Linked DNA regions of Rhinolophus ferrumequinum. Each later gene encodes a partner of the first gene's protein in a complex. Links are inferred from orthologs where the notes say so. Each region holds a gene or a part of one and is shown in the gene's direction. Other genes may lie near its edges.

Region 1 (9,348 bases):
TGCTTTTGTTTCTTACTGGTCTTGGAATAAACACAGCAACATTCCATCGGCAGTTTTCTAGTCCAGCCTCAGTTGCTGGAAACCCATACCGTTTTACTTCTCCTGTCTTCACTTGACTTGTTTAGGGCCTCTCTCTGCCATTAGAATGTAAGCTCCACAATGACGGGGTGTTGTTTTGTAAAACACATTTCCATGGCACGCAGAGAGCAATACCACGATATAGCAGAGGTTCAAATATTATGCTAAATGAATAAAAGTCTTTCTAATAGCCAAAGAAAATCCTGTTTAAAAAATTCTAAGTCTTTAAACATCTGCTGTAAAATGTAAGGTTAGTATCTTCAACAACACTTTGAAAATTTAACCTATTACTTGTTGGTAATACCGTAAGAGCAAATACCACATGCATCACTTTTAATACTGACAAAATGCTTTTTACAATGTGGGGTTTTAAAAATATTTAATGAGTTTTTAATTATATTTCATACATGCTGATTGGTAGTTTTTGTATGAATACCTACTAAGCAATTTGCACTATCTTAGACATAATGAGAGGAAAAAAATGAGAGAATCCTTGTTCCCAGAAAATGTTCATGTGCTTGTTTGGACAAAATAAATGTAAGAATCATCAAGAAACAATATATACTGAATATAAGATAAAACATAAGATACAGACAATGAGTACTACAAAAATTTAGAAGATAGATTATTAAAGATTCAATAAAATCTAAGTATATTTTACAAAACAATATAAGTCACTGAATAACTGACTTTTTAAAATGAGTATTAGTGTTCCAAAATATTTTTTTCCTAAATAGTGTTCCTAGAACATTTTACTTTAGTTAGTTTCTAAAATTACCTCGTTAATCACAAATAACTTATCTTTACGATCCATTTTAGTGTCTATAAAAAGAAAAAAAGAAAAAGCAAGTAAACAAAAGATTTCAAACCTTCTTTAATCAAATCACATTCTTTCTAGAAAATACTTTTAAAAGTTTTTATAATCTTCAATTTAAATGAAATTTTATTAATATTCAAAACAATCAGATCTGAAAACACATGACCTCTTTAAAATTTTTAAATGTAAAAATGAGATTAAAAATACTCCTCAAGAATTATAAAAGATGTAAGCAGTGGTTCTCAGACTTTCTGTATTCTATGAATCTCTTTCAAAAATGAAAAATTCTCACAACTGAAAACTATGTTCTAGGACTCCCATTTAAGGAACACTCACTTTAAGAAACTAAAATGTGAAGTGATGAAAATTTCTTTCCATTTGAATCACAGTTGCCAAAGAAAACTAATAAAAAAAAATGGTTTGGGATTACCATAGGAAAAAGGAAACCAATACAAATTAAAATTTCTTAGTAGTTTCAAAGATCTGAAAATATAACAGCACATCCCAGTTTGAGAAACATTGATCTAACCAACTAAGTTATTACCCAGAATTAAAACCAAAGGCATCTCCCAACACAGGCACAAAGACAGCTGCATGATGACACTGCCACAGTTCTAAACTTAAAACTAGACGTTCTTCATTTGCTTGTAAGATACCCCGTTGCTAAAAAGATCAGCTCGGCATTTAGAAGCACACTGAGCTCCAACTTAAAGGTGCCTGAAATCCTACTCTAGGTCCATTATTTTTTATATAAGAAGTCTTTTTTTGTTTTCTTTTTTTGTTTTTTAATGCAGAAAGCAATACATGGCAGTCCTGAATCATTTCAAAGGACAAACCATGACCTCTGAGAGAGAGCATTACAGTGAAGGCATTTCTGGACCTGCAAGAAATGTTTCAATAATTAGGACGTATCTGTTTAAGAAAGTGAAGAGAATGTTTAATAAATTCTGCAAAAACTTTCTGACAAAATGTGAACTTGAAACATCTTGGCACTGAAAATATATACTTCTGAGGAGTAGTGGTTCTTTATCTCACAAGATTGAAAAACTGAAGTGTGACGTGAAATGTGAATACATAAATAGGCAAGTTTATAAACATAAATTTTAAAGTATATGACATAAAGGCACCTGCTTTAGAATGAGGCATCAACATTCTTAAGTCTTGCATTAAATGTCTTGTTCTGAAATTTATTCCTCTGGAAGAAAAGATGAGAATCCGTTCCTTATTTTTCCACTTGCCCTAAAGAAAAAGAAATTGTTAAGATTTTGAGTTTCATACTGAACCTACCTTGACTGGTTGTTTGTTTAAAGATAAAGCTTCCAAGTAGCAAGTCAAACAATCCTGACCTAACCCTTTAAATTCAGTCACTCAGCAGCATTCACTAATCTCAGTTGCCGTCCAGAAATGCTCTCCTTTGCTCCCTTACCTTTTTTGTTTCTTTTTTCTTCAATCTTTCCACTCCTCATCCTAACTCTAAAGATTCTTAGCCTCTTTTATTTCTGTTCTCTCCAGGACACAGTTCTCATAATCACTCTCATAGCTTCAATTGCCAACTCTACAAAAAGGTAAAGAACTGTCTCCCAACCCTACTAATCTCAAATTCAATCCTAGAATACTTAAACCTTAAATCTGGTATATTTCCTTATTATTTAGTTTTCTGATGATATCACCACCATTTCAGTCCCCCAGGCTTTGAATCTTCCACCTGCCCATATTCTCTCATACCATAAGCACTACTAAATGCTGTCAATTTCTCTTTGCAACAATTTTTAATCCTTTCCTATTCCCTCTGCCCTCCTTCAGATCGTTAGGATCTTATATCAACTACAAATCTTTTAAATGGCTAGCTAGCCTTCCAGGGAGGAGTTCCTGCAATAGATATGGCAGACTAGCACCAGCTTAATCTTAAAGCATTGCTCCAATCACATTCTTAGCTCCCAGCATTTTCTAAACACAATCCAAAATGACATAGTTTTTAACATTCGATTCTAAAATACATTTATATTTTCACCTCAGATTGTCCCAAATCAACCCTACACTTTAGCCAATCAGGCTTTACTTCTTTAAGTTTTCAGCATTTCCCACAGTTCAACACCTTTGATTGGTTTTTTTCTCTCCTTGTATTGTTCCTTCTCGTTTCTGAATATCAAAATTCTGTCCTTTGCGATCCAGCTCAAAGGCTAACTCCTTCATGATCCCTTACCAGATTATCCTAGGGTAAAAGTTATTACATTCTGCACATCACTAGGATTTTTCTTATTATGACTCAAATCAATGATGCCTAAGGGATGAGAGCACTAATTTATTGAAAATCTACTGGAAGTCCCGATTATTCTTCACCAAAAGTAAATCACATTTCCTTCCTCCTAATAATATACAGATGAGCAAAGAGCTCTTAATAGCAAGGCTAGAATTTAAACTCATCTTTCATTCCTCAGTTAACTCCTTTCCTAGTGCTTGCCACCACACCACAATCATTTATTCATCATTTACTATGTGCTAGAGTACTATGCCAAGCTGGTGGGGGTTGGGGGCGCACAGAAATTAACAAATCAAAGGCAATCCCTGACTCCACAGTACTCAATCTAGTTCAGGGAGCTCTCAGTTGAATGAAAGTGAGTCCAACATCTTGTGTTCACCTTCTTTTGAATAAAAACCATCGACTTATGTGAATTCTTAGTTTCCTTCTAAACTCCAACATTTCAGGAAGAGATCACGTTCCAGTTTTGCAATCCCAAAGCAGGGGAAACCTAATTTCGTACAGTGCCTATCACGTTAAAAGTTTGTTGAATACAAGTAGAACTTGTACTATCCACTCTAGCTTTCGTTATCCCTCGAGAGCTAAAGATCTAGTAAGTCAAAGTCATAGTCCCAAGAACAGCAACTTTTAAAGGACCACATTACAAGCTTCAGGATCCCTGACTGACAGTAATTGACTATGGCAGAATATGAGAATACGAATCACTGTAAGGATACACTAAACATCTAGAAATTACTTTAAGGGAAAGTTCTACCCTCCAAACGACATAAAGTGGAATAACTAGAAGACAGAACATTGGAACTGAGTACTCCGTTAGTCGATTCCCAGTGAGCCAGCTAAAAGCTCTGAAGCCCGCCCCGTTGCTTAGTCGGACGCACCCAAGAGGGCGACCACGTGCACGAGAATTAGATGTAAACGCGGTGGCTAGTCGCGCCCGGACAGCTGAGACCCAACTCCCGTAACACCTCGGCAACTCCAAAATCCTCAGACTTGTATTTAGGTAGGTAAACCCAGGGCAAGTGCGTGGAGCAGCGGCCGCAGGTGTAACTCGGGGGTAGTAGCTCCCCTTACCTGGCAAACGGGGCCTGGGATACGGTTTCTCTCTTCATTCTCCGCCTCCTCTGCCATATCACGCTGCTTAGGCGGCGGCCTGGCATCTTTTTCGCTTCTTTTTGGTCTCTTCGCTTGAACTGCCAAGCCTCCACGCCGCTTCCTCTTGGTCGCCGCCATCTTGCCTCGCCGCCTTCGCTCTTGGGCTTCCTTCCGGCTCGGCCGCTCGCTCCCCTTTCCGATCTCTATGGTACTGCGCGCTCGGCTCTGTGGTCCTCCAGCTCCATGGTGCCTCCTTCCGGCCTCTGTGGTACTGCACGCTCGGCTCTCTAGGCCTCGTGTAGCTCTATGGTGACGGTGGCCGAAGTGGCCGGCCGATCTGAAAAAAGTGGCGGGACTTGCTCCCCTTCCTCTACAATTCTTCCCGAGCTGCACTTAGCTTCCTCGGTGACTTGGCTGGGAAGGGTTCACAGGAGTCCAGACCTCACCGCAAAGGTAGGGTTTCTGCGCCTTGCAATCCTGGACCAGTAAACAGATGCTGCCCCTGCGACGGGCTGGTAAACCCGGTTGTCTGAGACTCAAGGTGGCTCTTTTGAGAATCGGGGCCCGCCTCCCCATTGCGTGTTCTGTTAAAGAAAGATTGGGGGCGCCAGAACCGACACTGGGGAAACTGGCCACAAGCAGAACTACAGTGTTTGTCTGTTTTCATTATTCGCAACTTTTCCTGTGTTATTGCCCCCTTAAAAAACAGGAAACCATAGCTTAGAGAGAGAAATAATTTCCCCCAAAAGGACAGAGACAGTTAAGTAGCAGTCCCCTGTCGGCCAAGTTCAACGCCCAGACCTCTTCCACTTCGCCTCAGCGCAGGCTGAGATCGCGGGCTTCTTCGCCAGCATTGATGGGGAGTTTTATTGTCGAATCTCCCAGGTGTGTCGTGATCCGCGGGAGCAGGTGTTGGCAGCAGGAGCATTCCTCCGGGCCAAATGTGCAGGAGACGATGCCCCTCCTCAACCAGCAGATCGAAGAGGAGAATGATTACAGCTTGACGGCCAGCCTTGACAACGTTAGGAATCTCTCCACTATCTTAAAGGCTATTCATTTCCGAGAACATGCCACGTGTTTTGCTACTAAAAATGGAATCAAGGTTACAGTGGAAAATGCAAAGTGTGTGCAAGCAAATGCTTTTATTCAGGTATGGAAGAAGGTATCTTTAAGTCTGTGACATGCTATTCCTTACTCAGTTTAATGAATTCCCAAGGTCTTAATAGACATTTAAGTTAAAAAACAATATCATTATTTGAATTTTTTTTCATTGCTGGTAGGTAACAAATTCTTTCCCTGTCTTGTTTTACAGAGATAATGGTTAAAAATAATGTCTAAAATTTAAACTATAGGCCAGGCACTCTTCTGTTTTCTACATGTTTAACTCATTTAACCCTCACAATATGAGGTAGGCTCTATTATTCCCATTTTACATATGTGGAAACTGAAGCACAATTTAAGGGATTTGCCGAAAGTCCAACAGCTTGCAAGTGGCTGAGATGGGATGAGAACCCAAAACATGTTTCTAGAGTATATACTCCTTACCACTACCTCCCTCTTATTAATTTTTTTCCTTTTATCGGTTATAATATAATATGTTTATTCTTACAAAGTAGTATTTGTATGATTCAGATTTCACATTTGATTCAACGTTTTTTTCTGAACACCTAAGAGCACAGTATGACCTTGAATAAATAAGACGTTCCTGTCCTTAAAAGAAATTGAAAACTAGTATCACTCATGCATTATTCAATTGTTTGACTATTTTCCAAAGACAGGGGAGAGTCACATGGGGGATAGTTTAGATCCAATAAGTTATATGAAGGACCCTTCATAAAGTTTTGCATGGGACCTAAATCACTGTTACAGCTTTAATTATTGAATAGAGTTGATAGCTGAAAAAGCTTAAGATGTTTTTATTGGTAATCAGAAATGATTTTAATAAGATTAACACAATATTATTTTTTAAAAACATGTAAAGTGAAATCTAGAACCTTATGTGTGAGTTTTCATTCTTTAATATATTTTTTTTCGTTCACTTTTTTTATAGGCTGGAATATTTCAAGAGTTTAAAGTTCAGGAAGAGCCTGTTACTTTTCGAATTAATTTAACTGTCCTTTTAGACTGCTTATCTATTTTTGGATCAAGTCCTATGCCAGGTGAACCATTTTATTAACATTATAACAACATAAAAGCAGAGAGAATGGTCAAAAATACAGGAAAAGTTATTAGAATGTAATATAAACATTTCTTTAGAAAATGAACTGCCAATTCACTTTTCATTGGTCACAATCATGGATTGTGACTTTCATAGAAAATATTAATAGAAAGTGTGCTTATGGGTCTTTTCATATTTGCAAAAGTACTTACATTCATCTTTTTAAATTTACAAAGCTTTTAGGTTTTAAATTTCAACTGACCCAAAGAAGACTTCGTTTTAAATATCTTTAACAAGTGAAATATGTAGTAATTGCTGCTTTTCTCTAACTTGTCCAGAATTACAGTTTAGTGGTAGAGAAAAATAGAAACCAATTCTCCTGATTTCCAGTTTACCGCATTCAGAATTTGGTTACTGTTTTTTCCCGTTAAGCCCTGTTTATAAATTATGTCTATTTTCCTAGATGCTTTCCTTTACAATATTTATATATTTTATTTGTTTAGGGAGTTTTTAGGAATAGTGAATTCAGTTGCTATGGATGTACAACTACAAGAAATTCCCAGAAGAATGATTTTATTTCATAGCAGTGGACTCTGAGATTGGCTAGGGAAAATTCAGTTATTGTTCCCTAGAAAATATATTTTAATTTTGTACTGACAATTCCATTATTAATTATACATCCTCTAACGTACCTGGTTTTTCATAAAAGCATCTGCCTTCCCCCATCCCTCACTCAGGCTTCCATCCTACAATAAGGGAAAAGAGCCAGAATGTCCTGTCATACGTATTCTTCTCCCTCTCAAATGGGTTGCAGTATTAAAACCCTAACCACCATTAACCACCCTCTCTTTTGCTCCCAATTTGATCTTAAAACTTGGGGCAATGTAAAGGATGTCTCCCAATAGGAAAGGCAGGAAGGATCCTTACAGTGAATACACTGGCCTTATAGTACAGACAATATCAAAGCAATCCACTGTTGCACAAATTGAACCTTCAAGAAACAGCATAGCCTATTCTGCAACAACTCTTAATTACAGTATTGGACCAAGTAGATGCTCCAACCTGAAATGTGTGTGTGCGCATGCACACACACACACCATCAGTAAGGTATTTCTGAGGTGTTCTGGCAAGCTGGGAAATTTCAGAGCATTACATTACATTTTGTTCTGCTTCCCAATTTTCTTGCAGTTATTTTTGGAATTGTCTACACACAGCTGTCATCAGGGAAGATGTGATCCTTTCTTAGAGAGACATATGCTAGAAATTGGGCAGAATAAAGTACCCTTGAGGAGTTTTATGTATCATTTGAGGAAAAGCTGAACCCAGAGCTATAAAGCTAAGCCCAAAGTGTGATTTATTTCCATTGCAGGGATTTTAACTGCACTTCGAATGTGTTATCAAGGTTATGGTTACCCTCTGATGCTGTTTCTTGAAGAAGGAGGAGTGGTGACAGTCTGTAAAATCAATACGCAGGAGCCTGAGGAAACTCTGGATTTTGATTTCTGCAGCACCAATGTTATTAATAAAATCATTCTGCAGTCCGAGGGGCTCCGTGAAGCATTTTCTGAATTGGATATGACAAGTGAGGTCCTACAGATCACCATGTCTCCTGACAAGCCTTACTTCAGGTACTTGAAAGCAGTATAATGAAGCTAATGTGGTTGATACTATCTGCCTACTTACGCATTTGCTTAGGATGCAGAACTTTTATTATCCAGGTTCCTAGAATTTTCAGAACTTTGGAGAGCGTTTACTCTTACCTCCCCCTTTTATTGATCAGGACACCCAGGACCCAGGAAGATTAACTCACTATTTAAAGCTTCCTAGTTAGGTAGTGTTGGTTTTTCTTTCCTTTCAAAAGGAAGTAGATAGATGTTTTCTATACGTGGTTTATTCACTGAGTATCTATTGATCACCTACTGTTGCATATTTACCTTGGTAAGCATTACAGGAAGGAACAGCTTAAAATCAAGGTAAAGTGGAAATATGTGAAACAGCAGAGAAGGAACGAAACTGCATGACATTAAGTACCAAGATAATACCCAGAGATACTTAGGGAACCAACACATGAATACTTAGGGAGGACTGGTCAAGGTAAGCTTCCTAATGGAGGGTAATTTTCAGCAGGAATACAATGTCAGAAACTATCAAGCTGCTCCTGAAATTTTGACCCCAAAAATTATGAAATGGCAAGTCTCTTTTTGGGATTAGAATCAATTTAGGGAGAGAATTTAAATATTCTCTTCTGAAATATTTCAGAATATTAATGAGTAAAGGATTTTTTAATATCTACTTTAGAAGAACTGACGGCTCTTTTCATGGCAGTAGGCAGATAAAAATTGGACTCAAGTTCTGTTAAAATGTTAACCAAAATGGAAATCAGCGGAACCCTATTTAAGCAGTGATCGGAATTAAAATTCCAGGCACTTCAACAGTATTTCAGAAGACCCCCACCTAATGATCTCTCTCAGCATGGGTAACTAGATGGTTCGTGGTTATCGTTCATCTCCTGTGTGGGAAATGATCTGGTGGTGGGAACTGGGAGTTGAAATTTTTTTATGTTAAATTGGACGTGCCTATGACACCAGAAAGTAGTTCGATATGTAGATCTAGAGCTCAGGAGATCACTCTAGAATGGACTAGTCTCATCCATGGCTGGGCACGGACAAGATGGCTCAGAGAAAGAGGCTGTGTTACAAGAGAGGAAAAAGATAGGTCCTAGGGAAAAACAGCACGGAGGTGTCCTATCACTGCTCATATTGTACTTACCAGTGTGCTAATCCCATAGCAAATGGTGTGTTCTTGCAGATTATAAACTCTCCGCACAAACTGCTGATGTTACCAAGCAAGGAAAGCTTCATAGAACAGCCTGAAGAGCTCCCTAAGATACAGGAAAGCCATAATTGCTTGGTATGGCAGTAAAGGTAGGGAGCAGGACCCCAG
Region 2 (10,003 bases), on another chromosome or scaffold:
TGTTGCTCCTTGCATACACATCTGCCTCCATTTATGTTAACCGAGCATCCGTTCCTGATGATCTACATGTCTGTTACTTTTTTTTATAGGGCAGCTTGAAACAATGTGGAGGAGAAGAGGTTTTCCTAGGTCAGTTTTTATATAACAAAACAGGAACCACGGTTCAAACCTTTGAGCTCCAGGTAATGAGCCCTGGCTAGGGGATGCGGGCTCCGCTCCTGGGAGGGGTGTGTTGGGGTTGCGTGCCGGAAGTGGTGTGTGAGAATAACCGTGACAGGAGCATAAGCTAAACGAGGCTTTTCTGAGCTTCAGTTCTGAGCTCCCAGTGCTTATGTGCATTTTAATGCAAAAGACAGGCAAATACCGAAGTGGCTTCTAAGCCTAATTCTTCCTCGTTTGCTATCACTTTTTAAAAACTGTATTCACCTTCTCAGTCCTTCTCTTACCAGTCTGGTTCCCTTGCACTGTTAGGTTAGACAGTCACTGTCTCAACTTTCTTATGAGGGCGGTGGTGCAGTATGAGATGGTTAGAGGCAGAGAGGAAGTCAGGGGAAGAGAAAACAAATACTTAACACCAGACGATACAGGCAAAACTTCTCTCCTTAACTCAAAGGGGAAAAAGCACCAACTGTTAGCATACAAGGCCCCCGAAAGTCATTAAGGTGCATGAAATATATCTTCACTGTCTCTCATTAGCCACAGGAAGTAATGAAGAAATACAGAAGGCGTCTCATATCATGTAAAAGCAAGTGTTTGATGACACTACTTGGCCCATGGTGAGAAAATCTAGGCTGAAAACAATGTGTTAGAACTGAATGTGCCTGAGGAGTTTCCTATGTGACTGTACGGCCGTGTCACTCACTCCCTCATGGGACGGCCATGTAGGAGCACTGTGGGGGCATCTGAGAGGAAGTGAGAGCACCTGGTGTCCAGGCTGCCATACGCTCTTCCTTCCCCGGAACTTGTCTTCTTAGGAGCTCTTTACTTACGGTGGCTCATTTTCTCGTCCACTAGAGTGATGTTTGGATACCCTTGTGTTAGGAAGGGAGGAAGGAAAGAGTTTGAATTTCCCATTACGTCAGCCTTCCTCGGGATTCTTTGAGATGGATTTCTTGATAAGGCATTAATTTTATTTTTTCTTTATTTTCAGCATGAAGTTTCTGAATCCTTATTATGTGTGAAACTTAAAATCCTCAGCAACTGGGGACACACGAAGTACACTTGTTTATATAGATTCAGGGTGCACGGCACCCCGGGAGACCACACCTAGAAGAGCTGGTGCAGAAGGTGACGGCCAGGGGGTTAGGACAGCCAAGTGTCCCTGCCCCTTCGCTTCACTACACTCAGAGGGGTGGAAATCGGCAGTGGGAGGGAAACCTCAAAGTGGATGAATTTTACTAGTAAAAGTGTAAAAGTGATTCAGTCTCCTTCTGGTAGCTTTGCTTTGGGGATGAATGTCGCTGGAGCCCTGACAAGTAAATCTGTCTCGAAGGTGGTATTACTCAACAGTCTTTCTCATAGGAACACCTCTGCCTTCCTTAATTTGTTCATCCACACCAGGCGTGGATGGCCTGTTACCACTGTTACTTAACACATATCTGGACACACTGGTCAATTTGGTTAGATAAGTGAAAGAAATCAGAGTTTAAAAGGAGTGAGGATGTCTGACCATGACTATTTGCAGATGATCTGATGAATTCCTTCAAATGCAATAAAGTCAATCAAAAAATACACCACACACAGGAAAAACTGCAGTAAGTTAGTGGAAAGAAAATTACCACATATAAATCAACATTATGTATAAATACAAACAACCAGTTGGAGGATATAATTTACAAAAGCCACAACAAAGATGAAAACGAATCAGATAAACGAAACAATTAAACTACCTGTTTGAAAACACTCCAAACAGCAGTGGATGATAAGAAGACTTCAATGATGGAAAGACACACCTTTCCTGTGGATACGAAAACTCAGCTATCAAGATGTCAGTGTTCACTAAATTAATCTATAAATTCACTTTAATCTCAATTAACACCCAGAAAAAAGGTATTTCTGAGACAATTATGGGAAATTAAGGATATTTCAGTGCCTGTGTGATAATAGTATTTCGATGTTGTTACTAAAAAAGAATTATTCTTGTTTAGATTTATATATTTAAATATTTACAGATGAAATGATATATCTGAGATATGTTTCAAAATAATAAGAGGAGGAAATGTATGGGAGGATCCATAGAGAAGACTGGCCATGCAATGATCATCGAAGTTGTGTGCTGGTCCACGGGGCTTCATGTCTACTATTCTGCATTCATTTACATATGTTTGATATTTTCAATTTTAGAAAGTTTTAAAAAGATTAAAACATATATAAGTAACTAGAAGTGTTGTGTTTTAAGCCAAATTGATTCTAAAGTTCATTTGGAAATATAAACTTAGTAGGAAGCCAGGAAACCTCTGGATGAAAAAAAAAAGACAAAGAACTGTATGATGTTGATTAAAACAATAATTAAAATTGTGTGGTGCTAGAACATTGATAAACCAATGGAACAGACAAAACAAGTCTGTTTCTGATATATCAGAAATAGATTTATATCTATGTAGGAATTTAGAATACGATAACGGTGGCATCTTAAAAGCAGACAGGAAAAAGGAATGGTTTGGGACAATTACTCTGTCATTAAGAAAAGAAAATTGCACCTATTATTTCTCACTTTGCAACATGACGAATTTCCAATATGGTGATTATTTATAGGTAGGTAATGAAACCATAAAAATAAACCAAGAAAACTTGGGCTAAGTCTTGTATGGCATTGGATAGAGGAAGACCTTTTCTAAACAAGACTCACACTTACATAAAATTGAAAAAACCTCTACATGGCCAACAAAACCTTAAACAAAACAGAAAAATATATTTGTCATTGATATCATGAGGACCAATCTTTTCCATATGTAAAGAGTCTCGAGAAAGCAATACTATCAATAGCTGCATAGAAAAACGGCTGGACAGCACAAAGAGATTTTTCTTAGGAACATATGAAAAGGTATTCGAGCTTATTTATTTTAAGAAAAATGTCAAAAGTTACACGGTAGGTACCATGTTTCACCAATGAAATTAAGAAAAGTTTGATAACATTTCATTGGTAAGGCTTTGAGGAAATAGACTCTCTCACACATTGATGGTGAAAATGCAAACAGAGAAAACCATTGTGGAGGGAACCTGGCAATGTCTCTCAGAATTAGGAAGGCACATACCTTTTGACTCAAGGAGTCACGTGCAACATACATATATAACACGTTAATCAGCAATGTTCACCAGGAGGAGAGAGTAAATAAAATGGGAATGGGGCAGAAGAGACACCCACATAGGTGGAAGCAAAATGGTCTACTGTATAATGTTTTGTTTTCAAATCACGTGAAAATATTACCTATTCCTTACCTATACCATTTTTTAATTAAAAAATGTTTAGCATAAAACATGGTCTCTCGTTTTCTTACGTAATGGTTGTAGAGGAAAAACTCACTTGTGTTTCTCCTTTACTCTCACACAACAAACACACTCACAACAATTCTGACACCAGATTGTGTGGGGTTTTTGTGTTTGTTTTTTCTTTCTCACACCAGGCAATTCAGTGGTACCAGCCGGGCATCCTACAATTCTGACACAACCGGAGTGAGCTCAAGAGCGTCGGGCTCAGTCCCACGAGACCGCTCTCTATTTCAGATGCCAAATAGTAGATCCCCAGGTTACCCACAACTTCTGTCCAACTTGGCTTTCCATGATTACCCTGCCATAGATTCAATTATTTGCTAGAACAGCTCACAGAATTCAGGAAAACATTTAAATTTACCATTTTGCTATGTAACAAAGGGTATGACAAAGGATAGAGATGAGCAGCCAGGTGAAGAGATACATACGGCCAGGTCCAGGCAGGCCAATGCAGAGGCTCTTCCTTCCCCGTGAAGAGGGGGCCCCCTACCCTCCTGGCACACAAACGTGTTCACCAACCCAGAAGCTTCTGAACCCCCTACTTTTGGGATCTTTATGGAGGCTTCATCACGGTCGGTTCTTAACCCCACTTCCAGGCCCTCTCCCCTCACTGTGCACTCACAAGGCCGAGAGGCAGATTCTCACCCGGGGCGTGTGGGGCGCGCGCGCAGCAAGGCCAACATTTCAGTTCTATCCGCCATCTTTAAAATGGCGAATAGCACTCACCTATGGGTGCTTGTTACCAAGGTGACACCAATCAGTGTCAAGTGCTATAAAAAGGGTAGTGATTGACCCCACCCTATGGATGGGTACCATTCAACAGTGCCTTGGAAGTGAAACACGGTGGGCGGCCAAAAACGTGGGTTTCCCTCCCAGGTGGTGGGTACGTCCTTTCTCAGAGCCCCAGGGCCCAGCATCCAGTGCCCAGTGCCTGACACTTCTCATGGGCGCCACAAATGTTAATTTAAAGGATATTTATGACATTTATTGAAGTAGTTTTCCTTTAACGTCTAAAACACGAGAAGAGTCTTTGAAGAGCCGCTTAAGCAAAACCCATCCCTTCATGGAGCGCATTTCTCAAAAGACATTCATTCACTCGTGCCGCACAGTGTGCTGTCCGTCATTTCACAGTTTTCTCACGTAAAAGAAAAAGAAGACAAATCCAACCTGAACCTCTGAGCTATGCCAGTGTCTTCCCAGTGAGCAACTTTTTCAACATTAAGTGCTCACAACAGGACTGCAAATGGGCCCCCGAGGGATGGGGAGGACGAACAAGCACGGGGCACACGCTGGGCAGACGCTTCGGGCCGCCCGGGAAGGCGCACAGTCCTTACCTGGGTGGAGCGCGCAGCGCCTGCGGCGGTGAGGACGGGCTCCCCGGCTTCCCACTGCACACCCCGCCTGCCGTCGGCTGTGCTTCACTGCCACCGTGCTGCCACCTGGGGGACGGGATGAGGGCACTTCCTTGCACAATAAGCAAACATAATGAACTCCGAAACACCAAGCTGGATACAGTTTTTGTTCCTTTTTTTTTTTTAATCGTGTAACATCATTACATCATTTATGCTTTAAGGACTTTCACAGGATCTGGTGAAGTTCATCAGGAGACAAAGTTGCAGTTACCACTTAACGTCAATGTTCTCTAAACATGATCCCGCTTTTACCACAATTTTAAAACCGTGATCCAACGTGGTGCTACGGGCCCCGGCGAGCGGGAGCCAGCACTAGCGTCTGGGCCTGGAAGGGGTTCGAAAGTGACCTACATCCGAGCGGCAGATATCTAAGCGATCATTTTAATTGCCTTTGATAAATAAGCGATTGGTTTTAGTTCTGACGTTTTAACAGAATTGGCAACAGGTGTCACAACGTTCTTCCAAAACGTGAGTCCCCGGAACCACTCCTCCTACCTGGGGGCGGGGAGGACTGGCGCGTCGCCGAAAGCAGCCGCCTGCTCGGCCGGGGGCGTTACCGAACCCCGCCTCCCCGCGTACGTGACCCACAGCGTCACACGGGGCCCGCCTCCCCGCCGGGGGGCGTGACGCGGCTCACGGAGGCCGGGCCGAGCCGGGCGGAACCTCTGGGCGCGCGGCGGCGTTTCCGGAGGGACGCCGAGGGCGACACCGGGGTCCGCGGGTGACGGGTCCCCCGCGCGGGCCCGCGTTCCGGCATGAAGTTTCGGGCCAAAATCGTGGACGCGGCCTGTCTGAACCACTTCACGCGTGAGCGGGGCCGCGCCCGCCCGGGCGGTGTGGGGAGGAGCCCAGAGGGGAGGGCGCGCCGGAAGGAGGCTGCGCGCGGCGGGCCTCGGGCGAGGAGGGCGCGGGCAGCGCGCGGGACGCGCGTCTGTGGGCGGGGCAGCGGGTGCCCGGGTTGTTTCTAAAACCCGCGTGCCGGCGCCTGGCGTTCCCTCGTGGGCCGGCGGCGGGCCGCGGGAGGCAGCCTTACGTGGCGCAGACCCCGTGGCCCAGTGTGCTGCCGGCGTGGATGCGCCCTGCGAGCGCCGGCGCCTCGTTGCAGCCTGACGTGCGCCGCGCGAGTGGCGGGGTGTGGGGAGGCTGCCGGACTTCTCGGTGCTAAGCTGCTTTCCGGTGGGGTCCCACGACGAACGGCCGTGTGTCCGCCTGGAGGTGGCGCCGTGTTGAGCTCGGGTTCGTGGTGTGCTTGCCAGGAATTCCTTCCCTTCACCCCCTGCTACAGGAGTCAGCAACATGATAGCCAAGCTGGCCAAAACCTGCACTCTGCGCATCAGCCCGCGTCACCTGAACTTCATCCTCTCCGACAAGGTGGCCAGTGGAGGGGTGAGCATGTGGTGTGAGCTGGAACAGGTGAGCAGAGGCTCCTGCGAGGCGTCACACGCTGCCCGGTGCCGTCGGAGAGGGCACAGGTGTCCCTCCTTGTCTTCCCTTAGGAGAACTTCTTCAACGAATTTCAAATGGAAGGTGTGTCAGCAGAAAACAATGCGATTTATTTAGAGCTGACATCAGAGAATCTGTCTCGAGCCTTGAAAACTGCCCAGAATGCCAGAGCCTTGAAAATCAAGCTGACTAATAAACACTTTCCCTGCCTCACCGTCTCCATAGAGCTGGTGAGTAGGAGGGGAGCGATTCTGAAACTTCCCAGAAGGAGCTGCACTGGCTGGCGGTTGAACGTTAACTGGTTTTCTGGCACCTGAGTGTTTTCCCCTGGACTCAGTTTCTCCTCCTACTTAATGACATTGCTTGTTCAGCACACGTCCCAGCTCCTAACCCAGAGCAGACCACGCACACCCTGAGTATCTGTTGAACAGGTTTTGATGAATGGAACATTCCACTTAGATGTGGTATGTTAGCTTTTTTATTTTTGTCCCTTAGTTCTTTTTTTGTTTTGGTTTTTTTTAATATTGACGTTATAAAAATACTGTGTGATTCTTCTCTTGGCAGTTATCTGTGTCGAGCAGTAGTCGCATTGTAACCCACGATATCCCCATAAAGGTCATTCCTAGGAAACTGTGGAAGGATTTACAGGAACCGACAGTCCCAGACTGTGATGTGAGTGACGCTCATTTTTAAAGGATACTCCACGAAAAAAAATGGAGTATTTGCCTTTTGCTGTTTACATAAAGATCTTAAAACAGGGCAGCGTGTAGCAGTAAAGCCACACGCCACAGGTGGGAGACAATGTCTTGCTCAGCAGTGGCGCTTAAATAAAACTAGACTACACGGAGGGAGCACTGTGGGGGACTGGTTTCTGTCGGGAGTGATGGCTTAGGCGCCTGTTTGGGTCTCAGAACGTGATTTTACCTCATCCTGTAAGGAGTGATGCCTGGGTGTGCGTAAGAGCCAAGGGCAGAGGCTACCCCAGTCCTGGCAGGAATCCCTGGGCAGCGGGAAATAAAGATGAGGCCCACAAGTCTGTTGCTTCTTGCATACGATTTATTGGAGAAGAGACCGTGGAAAAGGAATTTTACTGGAGGATATCCGCACCACCTGGGAAAAGCCAGCATTGTATCAAGCACTGTTGGTGACCTGGTCTGAGCGCTGGTGCAGGGACTTCCTCATGGTCCTTTTCCGGGGTAAGAAGGCCTGTCTGAGGGTGTGTCCCTCAGAGTCTTATTCCCCTTGGGTAACATAAGGCCTCTGGCCGAAGGGCTGCAGTCTGTGGAGCCAGAGTGCCCACAGGTGTGTGGTCGCCAAGGTAACCACAGAGGCAGGCGTGAGTTAGGGAAATAAAATTGTTTTTGTTTCATATTTTAAAAGGACAGTGTAAAACTCCAGATTCCAGAGCTGCTAAGCATGCATGCGTGGCAAACGTAGGCAGTAGGTTGCACCTGTCAGCACTTGACTGTACTCACATCTTTAATTCTCCTGAGTTTTCTCATTGCTTTCGTAGGTTAGTATTTATTTGCCAGTCCTGAAGACTATGAAGAGCGTGGTGGAAAGAATGAAAAACATCAGCAACCACCTTGTAAGTTACAACTTCCTCGGAAAGGAGCCCGGAGTATTGGGTTCAGGCGGCATGCCTGCCACAGGTGTGGGGGCCCTGTGGGTACCCTGAGGCCCGGTGCGGCGGGCGCCCTCACCGGCCTGTTCTTGAGAGCTGCGGTTTCACGGAGTCCAGGAAACCTGTGCTGGTGCTTTCCTCTCTCTCACGGGGGAGGCTTTTATATTTGCCCTGGTCCATCACACTTGTATTTATAGCCTATTAACAACATAGCCAACAGTTCTGGCTTCCTTCACTTGTGTTTTGGACAAAACCTCCCAGCTTGTCTGTTGTGTGTATGTGTTTTATGAATCACCGACACTGGCAGTGATGGAAGTGTCCTGTCTACTTAGTGGCGGTCTCAGCTCGGAGCCCCCCAGCACACGCTGTCGCCCCCTCATCAGCTGTTTGCCAAGTACATGGATGTATTTCCTTTGCTGTTTGCTTATGTGGCGGTTGGTCCACTACAGTGTCACAAAATGCTACAGCATGTGACAGTGATGGGGAAGGGTGTGGATGGTCCCCAGTCACCCCTGGGATTCTCTGAATTCTTCCTTTGCTTGACCCCAAACATTTGATTATGTCCCGAATCTTCTAAAAACCTCCATCAGCCTGACGAAGTGTCCACTTTTGATCTTCATCTGCCCGGCCTCGTCCCCTGTCATGTGGCCACACCATCCCTGCAAAACCTCCCTCGACTCTTGTCCTTCCCCACACTGCCGGCTCTTTCCAGGCTCTGTCTCGGCCATTTCACACTCGCTGTGTTTTCTCCCACGTCCCCCCACGTTAGCCTCTCGCCATTCGCTGTAACTCTGTGCTCAGTGCTCTATGCTAAGTGACCTGCCAGCATCGGAAAGGGAAACGCTATCTCAACCATCTTTGTGTCCCGGCCACCACTGTGGGACTGTCACCCAGCGGGCGGTTAATAAGTGTTGTCGCATGGACCTGGAATGAAATGTACCTTCAAGCGATCTTTGGAATTGCAAAGGTTTTCTGAAGCCTAGGAAATGTTTGTGGGCCGTTCATACCTGTGATGGTGGTCACATAAGAGTGATTGTGTTTCTTGGCTTAATCTCCTAGATGTCATTTGAACTTGCAGTCAGCTTCCGCTGCTGCAGTGTGAGCTGTGCTGCGCTTGGGGTGCTCCCGTCAGTGCACCATTGTTGACCCAGATGTCAGGTGGGAAGCTTCCACTGCCAGGGCGGGATGCCCTGGGGACCTCAGAGAGCTTCGAAGAGGCCCAGGAGAGAAAAGGCCAGGCCGGTCAATTCATCTGCGGACCCCATTGTTTTGTTCTTTCTGTCCAAGGGCAATGAGTTGGCCCAGTAGCCTGGGTAGAGAAAATCATCAGAAGAAGTGTTTTTCTCCGGAGTATTTAAAAACAAACAAAAGTGTTGTGGCGTGCCTGCTGCCATCTGCCCTCCTACATGGAAAGTTGTCACGTGTGGGAAGTAGAACCAAGGGCCCGAGGACATCTACCCGGGTGACAGGTTCTGTGTCTTAAGGTGACAGGCAGGGGACATAAGGCCGCTGAGTGCGACTCAGTACATGAAAAACACCTCCTGTCCCGAGGGGAGCTGAAGCGGCATGCTGAGGCTCCACCCTCTCTCCCTTCCTTTATGGGAGCCGTGGCCTCGTGGAGGGGCTGTGTGAGTGGGGTGGGAGCAGCAGAAACAAGCGCGGTGTGCAGGGTGTGAGGCCCTTGTGCGCACATCTTCACCCTGACGTGCTGTGGGCAGGATTCTGGCTCCGCCTCCTGTGGGAGTGGCTGGGACTTCCTCGTGGGGCGGGGGCGTGGCTAGGTCCCGGCAGTTCCCTGCTTTCTCTGAAGTCCGGGTGTGCGGCCTCTCCACTGGGAGGTGTCTGGTGAGCATGATCCTCCTGCCGGCCTCGGGGCTCCCCACTCACCTGCTGTCCAGATCCCCTCTACCTCCGTTTCTGTTCGGTAATTTGTATTTTCTGACTTTCTGCCTCGTCTTCTCTTCCTGCGCTGTCTGTGTGCCCACGTTCTCCTGGTTTCTTGCCTGTTTACTTTCCATTTCCGATATTTGCCCTT
Region 3 (9,494 bases), on another chromosome or scaffold:
GTGATTAGAACAACATCTGGCACTCTCATTTCACTAAGTTTTTTTGAGGAGTGTTCTAAGTCTTCACCTTTGTGTGCCTAGTGTTGGCCCATATTAGCCATCAATAATCTTCATGCAAAAATAAATAAATATAAATAAATAAATAAATAAATATACAAAAATAAAAAATAAAAAAATAGTCTTCATTGTAGGGACAGTAGAGGGAAGTGAAGGGCCTGAAAAATCTTCTCTCAAAATTACCAAGTATTGGCATTGCTTTTTTAAGATTACAGATCTCCACGCCTCCCCCTCCAACCTCTCACTGCTTCTGTTAATGCCCTTGGGATTGGAATTTGAGACATTCCATTCCTTATTCCTCTCTTCCTTTCCGGCCACTCGTACTGGACAGGACCCAGTATGGCAATATCTGTGAGTTCCCACGATGGGCAAGGTGGGGAGAGCTGTGGGGTTCTCAAATAGCAACTTTCACATTCCTCTCTGCTCACACCAGGCAGCCCCTCCTTTCTGCCTTTCCGAAGGCTTCCTACCCTTCCAGCCTTCATCCAATTCCTCATGAAGCCTTCCTGGGAGGATGTGCCAGCCCACAGCAACCCCTTCTTCCCTCCCTCATCTGAATTTCTGTAATAATGTCTATTTTTTGTTTAGAGCTTTCGTATATTCATTAACCAACTTTATCTTCACCACTGAGGTAGGCATAGTATTTACCATGCCTATTTTGTTGATAATGGAATTATTAACAATCAACGATGGAACTGAGTCTGGAAAAGCTAAGCAATTTGCCAAAGGAACACAGTCTAGACTTTAATTCTAGCCTCCAACTCCAGCTTTCAGGTTTTTCCATTAATAATGGACATCATTACAAGACCCATCCTCTGTCTCACACTTTGGGCACTTAGCACGTGTGCGCTTGTATTGATAGATTTCTTTCCTCGCATGTATATAAGTAGGTTCCTGCCTTTCGTAAGCTCCTTGAGGGCGGGGACTGCATGGCATTTCTCGGTCTCCCCAGAGCCTAGCAGGTGTTAAGTACATGGTCGCATCCCCATAATTTTAGTTAAAAAATTGAACCCCTCTCCTGGCTGTCCTTCCCTTGCCTCCATCCCTTCCCTCCAGCTACATTCAGAACAGAGTTTAGTTTTTGATGACCAGAGGTGGGAAAGTTAGAGTACCAAGTGAGATATCAGCAACAGGAAGCAGAGAGAGGGAGGGGTCACCTGAATGTGGGTTGGCGGGTGAGCTCCCTGAGGAAGGAGTGCCTCTTACTTCTTGAAGTTCTTTGGGGGCAGGATGTTGCCATTGGCATCAAGTGGAGGTGCCCTTGCTTCACTCCTCAGTTTGAGTTTCTCCATCTCTCTTAGTTCCTTCGCTGTCCTGAACATCACCTGGCTCTTCCTATTCGCATCCAAGAAGATAGGAGGATTACTGCAGATGAAGGTCAGAAAGCTGTTTTGACCCATCCAGGAGGGAGGGGGAATGGGGGGCTCCGTTGGGGGGCGGCAGTGAGCCCTGGAGTTGGTCAGCCTGCGCCAGACATTACTGTCATAGGGCCTGTCGGGCCTGGCGGGGAAGGTAGCCGGCAAGCGCCCCACGTCGAGCCACGTGTGGAAGCCCCACGTGTGCTCCGTTGTATCCTTCCACGGGTGGATTAGTCGGTGGTGTACCTTGGACTTCATGTCTGTGCAGGGTGGCAGCTTCAGGGCCAGCTGGTGGTAGGCTTGCCGGGTGAAGCCAGGCCATTCCCAGGGCTCATCCGGGAGGAAGAACTCACGCTGAGGCCACGTGTGGGAGGCCAGTAGGGCCTCACCGGCCTCGACCATCTAGGGAGAGACAAAGGGAGCTTGCCGGCACTCTGCCTCTTCTTCCAGGAGCAGCCGCAGAGGAAAGAAGCTGCCAGTCTCCTCCAGACACAGGGTTCCCATCAGGACACTGGCATGGAACCATGTCTGCTCTGTATTATTCTCCCCCTACCTGCAGGAACTTCATGGACTTCTCACCTGTTCTCTTTCCATCTCTCCGGTTTGGGCTTTGATTTCCTACCCTCTTTCCTCAACTTGAATTTCCCCTCTTCGCTCCTTCCTTTCACCCATCCTCTCCATTGTGCTGCCCAGGAAGTGCCCACACTCCCGCCCAGGAATGGGTGCTCCTAACAGGACACATCAGGCCTGAGGAAATCCTGAGGAAAAACATGCCTTACCAAGCCAAGTGTAGAAGGGAAGTCTTTCTACAGAGCTTGGGGGCTGGGTGCTTTTCTATCCTAGACTCCTCCTGTGACTCATTTCTCTGTCATTGCTGTGTTGCCCTCACTTCTCATTAAAATACCAGCAAGTATAGAAAGCATTTAAAATGTTGGTCCCTCCCCTTTCTGGGCCCCACCCCTATGAAATAAACGGTAGCAAATATGCCAAATACTCATCCACACCTTGTTTAACCCTCACAGCCCTATGAGCAGGTGCTGTCATGGTCCCCTTCTCAAAGATGCAAAGAGCAAGATACAATGAGGGTAAATAACTCATCCAAAGTGCCAGGGGAGTGAGTGGCAGAGCTGGGACCTAGGCCGTCTGTCTGTCTGCACTACCCATCTTCTTCAAAGATGCCTCTTCCTCCAGTACACTCCTAGGACTTTTCTAATTCCACAAGTCCCCTGTTTCGTGGGCCAGGTCCCTGTCACTTCTGTGACCACCCCAGATGTAATAACCAGGCATCTCCTCTCCTCTGTTCTGAGCTCCATGTTCACAGTATTATGGGACTAAGAGAAGACAGCAGAGGTCATGGGCCTAGAGATCTGCTGCCCTGGAGAAAGCCTGGCCCACCCCAGGGATGGGGCCTGGGCCCCTACCTGCCGGAAAGGTTCTCTGACATGGGATGTATTCCGCCCTCTGGGTGATCTTCGTGGGTGACAGGCCATTTTCTTCTGAGCCTGATTGCTGGGAGGGGCAGCTCTGTAGGGAAGATCTTACAGGCAGCATTGTTTGCTGCTGGGGTTGCTATGGTGATGCTTCCTGAGTGGTGACACAGGGAGGAGGGCTCATTACTCCCTGGGGACCTGGCTGCTTCAGGTGACACGGGCAAGAGATGGGACTCTGAAGTTCTGACTGCAAAAGATGGTAACGGGAGCTGCTTCTGGAGACTGGCCTGGGAAGGAAAGCAGGGCAGGCTGGCTTCCAGGCCTTGGGTAGGGGGTGGAGGTGGTCATGAGGCACCTGAAGGGGGCCCTTCCTTCCTTCCCTAACGGTCCGAGGTCTGCCCCTGTGTAGGCCTTTCCCTTCCTGGGGACTGGCTGAGCAGGACCAGCACTGGGAAAGCTGCCAGCTCCCGTTCGAAAGGCTGTGTGTGCCTGCGCAGGGTGTGACACAGGTGATCCACGCTCAGGTCCTTTGCACTCTCCTTCAGGTGCTTCTCCACGTTGGCTTCAGGCCTTGCCTCCTCCATTCCCACCGTCTTTATCACCACCCACTTTCTTTTCCAACCCCTCCTTATGCCGTGGGGGCCAGACAGACACACCACAGAGAGCAGCATTTGCAGCCTGGGTTTTATTGAGTAGTGGTTACAGTAGTGTTCTCGAGCTGGCTCCCAGGCACGTGGTCAGCTGGGGCCGAGGGTAGCTCTTTGCAAAGCTGCAGTGCAAGCTAAGGAAGCCAGGCAGGTCAGGGCCCTTTCCGCCTTCTCACACCTTGGGCCACGTTCTCATCAATGCTAGTCTCCCTGGCATGATTAGGGACATTATCAGAGAAACATCTCATGGGTGCACATCTGGGCACCCACTCTTTGCTTTAGATGCATCCACCCCCTACCCCCAATTCAACTTGACCTATTACAAGAGACCTCATAACAAGGACTTCTTGTGGGAAAGCTGACTTGGAAACATGAGGTGGTGGGAGGGGCAATAAGAGGGACCCTGGCAAGCAGATCCACCTGTCTGGGGGCCTACAGTAAAGAACCCTTGAGGCAGGTACCTCGGGCCTGGAAGAAACCGTGCACCGCAGGTCCCCCCCTTCTCTAGGAACTAAAAGCAAGGAACAGAAGCCAACTGACACCGCTGTCATCCTACCCACCTGGCAGTCTCTAGATAATGATCTAAGGAAATAAGCTTACATTTATAATTAGAGGATAATTTTGGAGAATATACACTATTTACAAGGGCCCCCCTGCAAGGAACAGGGAAGGTAAGGGACTGCTGGGCACAGAACACACAGTTTGAGGAATTCCTAATCTTGTTTCCCCTTTGTCTTTGCTACGCCCACCGTCCAGCTGTAGCAGGGATAGGGAGGAATCAGGTCCTCGCGGGAAGCACAGGGCAGCAGAAACCAGGCACCAGGGCCTTGCTGCTTGCAGAGGGCCCTGTGGCAGCTATGGCGTGACGTCTGCCTTGGCATAACCGGGCAAGGTGGGGCTCGAGGAGCGGACAGGCCCTGCCTGCTGTCCTTACACAGAGGCCTTGCACGGCCCAGGCCCAGCCCCACAAGTGCCCGGGAGTGGACAGATCTCTACCGCAGCTCAGGGATGAGCTGAGCCCAGCTGGCGCTGTCAGGGCCCAACAGGTCCTCCTCTAGGCCAGGGAAGCTGATGTCCAGCAGGATCTTGCTGAGGCTGTCATTCATTGTGTCCAGAACCAGACCTTCTGTGAGGGAACGGTTGGCTGAAAGGCTGGCAACCTGTGGCTCAGGGGAGCCTGGCTTGGGGACCTCCATATCTGAGGGGGAACAGCTCCTAAAGGGGTCAGAGGGGAGGTCAAAAGGCTCGGAATTGAGGAGCTCTTGAGGTGAATCAAAAAGGGGGATATTTTTCAGTGGGGTGGTACTGAGATCTGTCAGCCCCAGGGAGTCATGCAAGGGACCAAAGGGACCCTGGGGGGTTCGTACTGGGCTGAAATCTAGCCCCCCGATTTTGGCTGGGGGTGTGAGCCTCCAGGATTCAGGGGTCAAGGGGAGGACAGATTTGCTTGGGGTGGAGGAGATGGGCAACGTCTCCTTAATGGGTGTCTTAAAAGGTCCTTCCTCCCCCTGGGAGTAGCCAAGCTGGGAGACAGGCGCAGAGGACTCTGAGGGGAGAGCGAGCTCTGGGGCTCGGCGCGAAGTCCCGGGGCCCTCTGAGAAGACCAGCTCGGGCTCATCCACACAGGGAGGCTGGAGGTGCTGTTTCCTTCGAGACCGGCTCCTTTCCCTCCGCTCCCTTCGTTTAATCACGAGCATTTCCGAGACACACCGGGCTGGGGACTTGAGCCCACTGTAGGACTTCTTGGGCCTTGGAGTGGGAGAGTGGGACGAGTCCTCCCAGGACTGAGACAGCTCCTCTTTGACAGACGGGCATGGCGAGGGCCACTCTTCCAGGGGTGGGCTCTCGACCTTGATGGGCCGCCCTAAGTGTGGCATTTCCTCCCCAGGCTGGATGTCTTCCTCCTTGATGGACTGAACTGGAAGCAGAGGGCACAGCCCTTCTCCAAGCAGGAGTTTCTCCTCTTTCACTGGTCCTGCAGTGGGCAGAGGGGCTACCCCCTCATCAGCCAGCAGCACCTGAAAGGCAAGCAGGGATAAGGTGGAAAGGGGCTGTCGAAACCTCGAGACTCAACCCAGTCACCAGGCGGGACACAAGATCATGACTAAAGTAAGTGACATGCTGCTACTGATCCTCTTTTTGTCTTTTTAAAATCTTAAAAAGTATAAAATACAAGAATATATGATGGGCCGGCCTGGTGGCTCAGGTGGTTAGAGCTCCGTGCTCCTAACTCCGAAGGCTGCCGGTTCGATTCCCACATGGGCCAGTGGGCTCTCAGCCACAAGGTTGCCGGTTCAACTCCTCGAGTCCAGCAAGGGATGGTGGGCAGCGCCCCCTGCAACTAAGATTGAACACGGCACCTTGAGCTGGGCTGCCACTGAGCTCAGTTGGTTAGAGCGCGGGCTCTCAACCACAAGGGTGCTGACATAATCATTATCTATCTGAGATAAAATAAAATTAGATATCTATTTTATACCATCTACAAAGACAACAGAAAAATTAAAACCATACAAATCCTGAAAGAGAACCTAGGAGACTACATGTACAATCTGAGGGTAGGGGTGACCCTTCTTAACCAAGACTGGAAACCCAGAAGCTGTAAACGAGAGGAAATACATAGTTGACCATATAAAAATTTAATATCTTATTGTGGCAAGAGATACCATAAACAAAGTTCAGAAACAAACAGTAGAAGTAAAAAAAATCTTCAACATAAAAGACAAGGTTAATATTTTAACAACAAAGAACTCCCACAATTAACGAAACCCTGTAGAAAAATGGGCAAAGTCCATAAATAAACAATTCACAGTGAACACTCCCAAGTGACGAAATATAATGAGGAGGGGCTCCCATTTCCTGCTAAGCAAATAGTTCATGGAGACATCATTTATGCACATTAGACAGGCAAATATTAAAAAGATTAATAACACCAATTGCTGGCAAAGAAAGACACCGGTCTTGTCATATCCTGCTGGTGGAAATGTGAATTATCACAGATTTTTTTGGAAAAGCAATCTAGCAATATTAGGTAAAATTTAGAATACCTCTTCACTGAGCAATCTCATATCTGCGACTCTATCCCAGAGACATGAAAGCATTAGTAAGAAAGATACTTGCAAAGATATTTATTGCAATGTTGTTCATAAGGCAAAAGAACTAGAAACAAAATGTGCCCATAAAAGTGGAATGGCTGGAAAAATTATGGCATAGCCACACCATGGAATATTATGTGGCCATTAAAAGACAATGAATTAGGGCGGCCGGATGGCTCAGTTGGTTAGAGCACGAGCTCTCAGCAGCAGGGTTGCCGGTTCGATTCCTGCATGGGATGGTGGGCTGCGCCCCCTGCAACGAGGATTGAAGACAGCGACTGGGCTTGGGGCTCGGCTGCGCCCTCCACAACTAGATGGAAAGAACGGCGACTTGGCTTGGGGCTGAAGAGCCCTGGAGAGGCACACAGTTCCCCGATATTCCCCAATAAAAGAAGAAAAGGGGGAAAAAATTGAAAAAAAAAATGAATTAGAGCTATGCCAAGTGGTTTGGAAGAATTTCCATGAAGCAGAGTGTGTAATATGATCCCATTTTCAATGTTCTGTGTTGTGTGTGTATATATAGAATGACTATGGCTATATATGTCTGTTATACTAAGAGCATGGATAAAGTATGGAAGAAAGCATTCTAAATTGTCAACACGGGTTAGCTTGGAGAGCGAGGGTGGTGCGGGTGAAGGGGAAATGGCGGGGAGACAAAAAGGAGGAGGAAAAAGACTGCATTAAAACAAAAACCATACACATGCTACCATCACATTAACACACATATGTAAAATTACATATAGTGATATGTATAATTTTATATATATTTTAAAAGTATCTTTTAAATAAAACAAAAGCAAACCCAAGTCTCTCTAAACTCCAGAGCCCATGCTATGTCCATCTCATGAGGGGGCAGGAGCCCTTTTCCCTACTTTGCTCCAGGTCAGCTCCCGCTCTCAAAACCTTCTCGAGAGGGTGAAGTTCAGACTTGGTAGTCCATCGCAGTATGGCTTAATCTCCTCACTTTCCCTCAAACTAGACCAGGGATGCTCCATTGAGGAGTGATTCCGCCCCCAGGAGACCTGTGGCCACGTCTGGGGCATTCTGATTGTCACACAGGTCGGGGTGGGAGTGCTCCTGGTCTCTCGTGGGAGGAGACAAGGGATGTCATTAAACATCCTCCCGTGCACAGGGCAGCCGCCCTTCACCCCCAGCAAACATTTATCCAGCTCTAAATGTCAACAGTGCCGAGGCTGAGAAACGCGGAGCCAGACTGACCCAGGCCCTCCACCGTCACTGGGCACAAGCCGGCATCTCCTGCCTCCATGCTCTCTCCACACCTGGGTGCTTACCTAAATCTACTCCTTTCTGAGACCTACTTCCCTTGCAAACTCTTCCTTAACCCTCCCAGCCCGTCTGTCATCATCACCTTGTCTGAATTCTTATAAACTCATCAGGTATTTATGGGCCTTCTGGTACCATTACATTGTAATCCAAATTCCTTTTTAGCCTTTATAATTAAGTTTTCCTTTGTATGTGTGCCTTGTCTGCCCAACTAGACGTATAAGCTTCTCAAGGAACATTCAGCAGAGTACGTTGCAGGTGTAGGTCCAACACTTTTACTCCTCCGAGGAAATCAGAAGCCACTCACCTTAGGGGCAATGCGGACTCGCTTGCTATGGCGGGCAAGCTCTGAGCTCATGAGGGAAGCTGCCAGGGGCAGTGGCACCTTCACCGAGGGCTGTAGCACCAGCGGCTGGTTCACCGGGAACTGGATGGGCACCAGGTACGAACTGACGCGGGGCAGCAGCGGCTTCATCTTCCGCCCTGGGAGGAAATAGGGGCAGTGAGGGGCAGAGGTCCAGGGCACACCCCTTCTCATCCCCTCTGGGATCAGATCCCTCTGAGCTGGGCACAGCATCCGGAGTCCGATCCCTTCCGGCCGTGCTCCCAGAGCAAGGCTCAGGCCGGAAGTCCACTCTCCCATACTAACGTGCGCCCAGGGGGAGGTCGGCTCGGATGGTCACGTTCCGGCGGAGCTCAGGATTGGGCCGCTTCTGCTGCTGCGTGTGGCAGACAGGGAGAGAAAGAAACCTGAGTTAATCAGGCGGGGAGACGGTGGGGGCACCCACTGGCTGCTCTGGCACCGTGCACTGAGCTAACCGGCAGCCCAGAAATGGAAGCTGCTCTGGGAGGTTGCAGGCGAGCACTGCCACCAAAGCCTAGATAGTGGCAAAGGTGGACAGCACACAGACGCACGGTGGCAGATGGTCCCAGCACCTCATCCATGTGTCCTCACCACCCCAGGGGATGCTAAAGCATGGAGCTTTCCTTTCCTGTGGCAAAGGAAAGCCAGAGGAAACACTGCCACCTGCCAGGCCCACCATGCATTGTGGTTGCTGTGCCACACGCACCACGCCCGTGCCATGTCCTCCTGCCACGCACGCTCTGCTCAGTGTGCCTTCGTGATGTGAGGGGCAGGAGCAGTGGGCACAAGCCCTCCTTCTGGGGAGACGAGGTGGTAGTCACACAGTGCCTCACTCCCAGAAGCTCGGGGTGCCCTGAGTGCAGGGCTGGCAGTCACCCAGCCACAGGCTCCCTTCCCCTGCTTAGTGTCTTGTCCCTGTCCACTAAAGCCATGCTGAGCAGTGAAAGGAAAACAAGGCCAAGCCCCGAGCCAGAGGGAAAGAATCTTACTGATTCCAAGTGCTCGGGCGATTGTGGAGACCCTGGGTCCAGTGGCTGGTGGCGGTCAGGCATTGTGGGAGAGAAATGAGATGAAGTTACCACCAGCACGGTCAACCAGGCCGACCACATTGGGAAAAACACCTATTTCTGACTGGCGCCGAGGGCCACCCTGGACAACTGTCCCTCCCAGGAGAATGGTGACAGCTAGGAGAGTATGGGCACTCTGAAATCCCAACACAATTGCTTCTGAATGCTAGCTCGGTTTCTGGTCTCCAGCCTAAA

Evidence for each region.
Region 2: the proteins of RAD1 (region 1) and HUS1 are in contact, whole or in part, in a crystal structure (PDB 8GNN), measured with the Homo sapiens proteins. The link is inferred for Rhinolophus ferrumequinum from reciprocal best matches to the Homo sapiens genes RAD1 and HUS1. Residues at the interface, in NP_002844.1 of Homo sapiens: Asn85, Val88, Asp91, Cys92, Ser94, Ile95, Phe96, Gly97, Ser98, Gly127, Val128, Val129, Thr130, Val131, Cys132, Lys133, Ile134, Asn135, Gln137; in NP_004498.1 of Homo sapiens: Thr165, Ser168, Val169, Lys172, Met173, Asn175, Ile176, Glu197, Leu198, Val199, Cys200, Val201, Thr202, Thr203, His204, Phe205, Lys206.
Region 3: the proteins of RAD1 (region 1) and RHNO1 are in contact, whole or in part, in a crystal structure (PDB 6J8Y), measured with the Homo sapiens proteins. The link is inferred for Rhinolophus ferrumequinum from reciprocal best matches to the Homo sapiens genes RAD1 and RHNO1. Residues at the interface, in NP_002844.1 of Homo sapiens: Asn47, Gly48, Ile49, Lys50, Phe64, Ile65, Gln66, Ser149, Lys155, Ile157, Glu211, Ala212, Lys240, Val241, Ser242, Arg244, Gln254, Tyr255, Met256, Phe266, Glu268; in NP_001239428.1 of Homo sapiens: Ser55, Trp56, Val57, Ser58, Pro59, Asp60, Phe61, Asp62, Thr63.

Annotation. Positions count from the first base shown.
Region 1 is NC_046290.1:22,851,529-22,860,876, reverse strand, and holds the start of RAD1 (cell cycle checkpoint protein RAD1), read left to right. Parts: upstream 1-4,852; 5' UTR 4,853-5,103; coding exon 5,104-5,397; intron 5,398-6,297; coding exon 6,298-6,406; intron 6,407-7,774; coding exon 7,775-8,033; intron 8,034-9,348. Other genes in the region: BRIX1 (ribosome biogenesis protein BRX1 homolog), read right to left, coding at 857-900, 2,023-2,134, 4,227-4,385. UniProt on the Homo sapiens protein: Component of the 9-1-1 cell-cycle checkpoint response complex that plays a major role in DNA repair. The 9-1-1 complex is recruited to DNA lesion upon damage by the RAD17-replication factor C (RFC) clamp loader complex.
Region 2 is NC_046303.1:1,214,238-1,224,240, reverse strand, and holds the start of HUS1 (checkpoint protein HUS1), read left to right. Parts: upstream 1-5,410; 5' UTR 5,411-5,656; coding exon 5,657-5,708; intron 5,709-6,186; coding exon 6,187-6,314; intron 6,315-6,397; coding exon 6,398-6,574; intron 6,575-6,908; coding exon 6,909-7,016; intron 7,017-7,857; coding exon 7,858-7,932; intron 7,933-10,003. Other genes in the region: SUN3 (SUN domain-containing protein 3), read left to right, coding at 90-182, 1,151-1,270. UniProt on the Homo sapiens protein: Component of the 9-1-1 cell-cycle checkpoint response complex that plays a major role in DNA repair. The 9-1-1 complex is recruited to DNA lesion upon damage by the RAD17-replication factor C (RFC) clamp loader complex.
Region 3 is NC_046293.1:87,884,738-87,894,231, reverse strand, and holds the start of RHNO1 (RAD9, HUS1, RAD1-interacting nuclear orphan protein 1), read left to right. Parts: upstream 1-5,524; 5' UTR 5,525-5,601; intron 5,602-8,175; coding exon of another isoform or gene 8,176-8,351; intron 8,352-8,517; coding exon of another isoform or gene 8,518-8,587; intron 8,588-9,221; coding exon of another isoform or gene 9,222-9,266; intron 9,267-9,494. Other genes in the region: TEX52 (testis-expressed protein 52), read right to left, coding at 1,264-1,817, 2,837-2,905; FOXM1 (forkhead box protein M1), read right to left, coding at 4,485-5,510, 8,176-8,351, 8,518-8,587, 9,222-9,266. UniProt on the Homo sapiens protein: Involved in microhomology-mediated end-joining (MMEJ) DNA repair by promoting recruitment of polymerase theta (POLQ) to DNA damage sites during mitosis.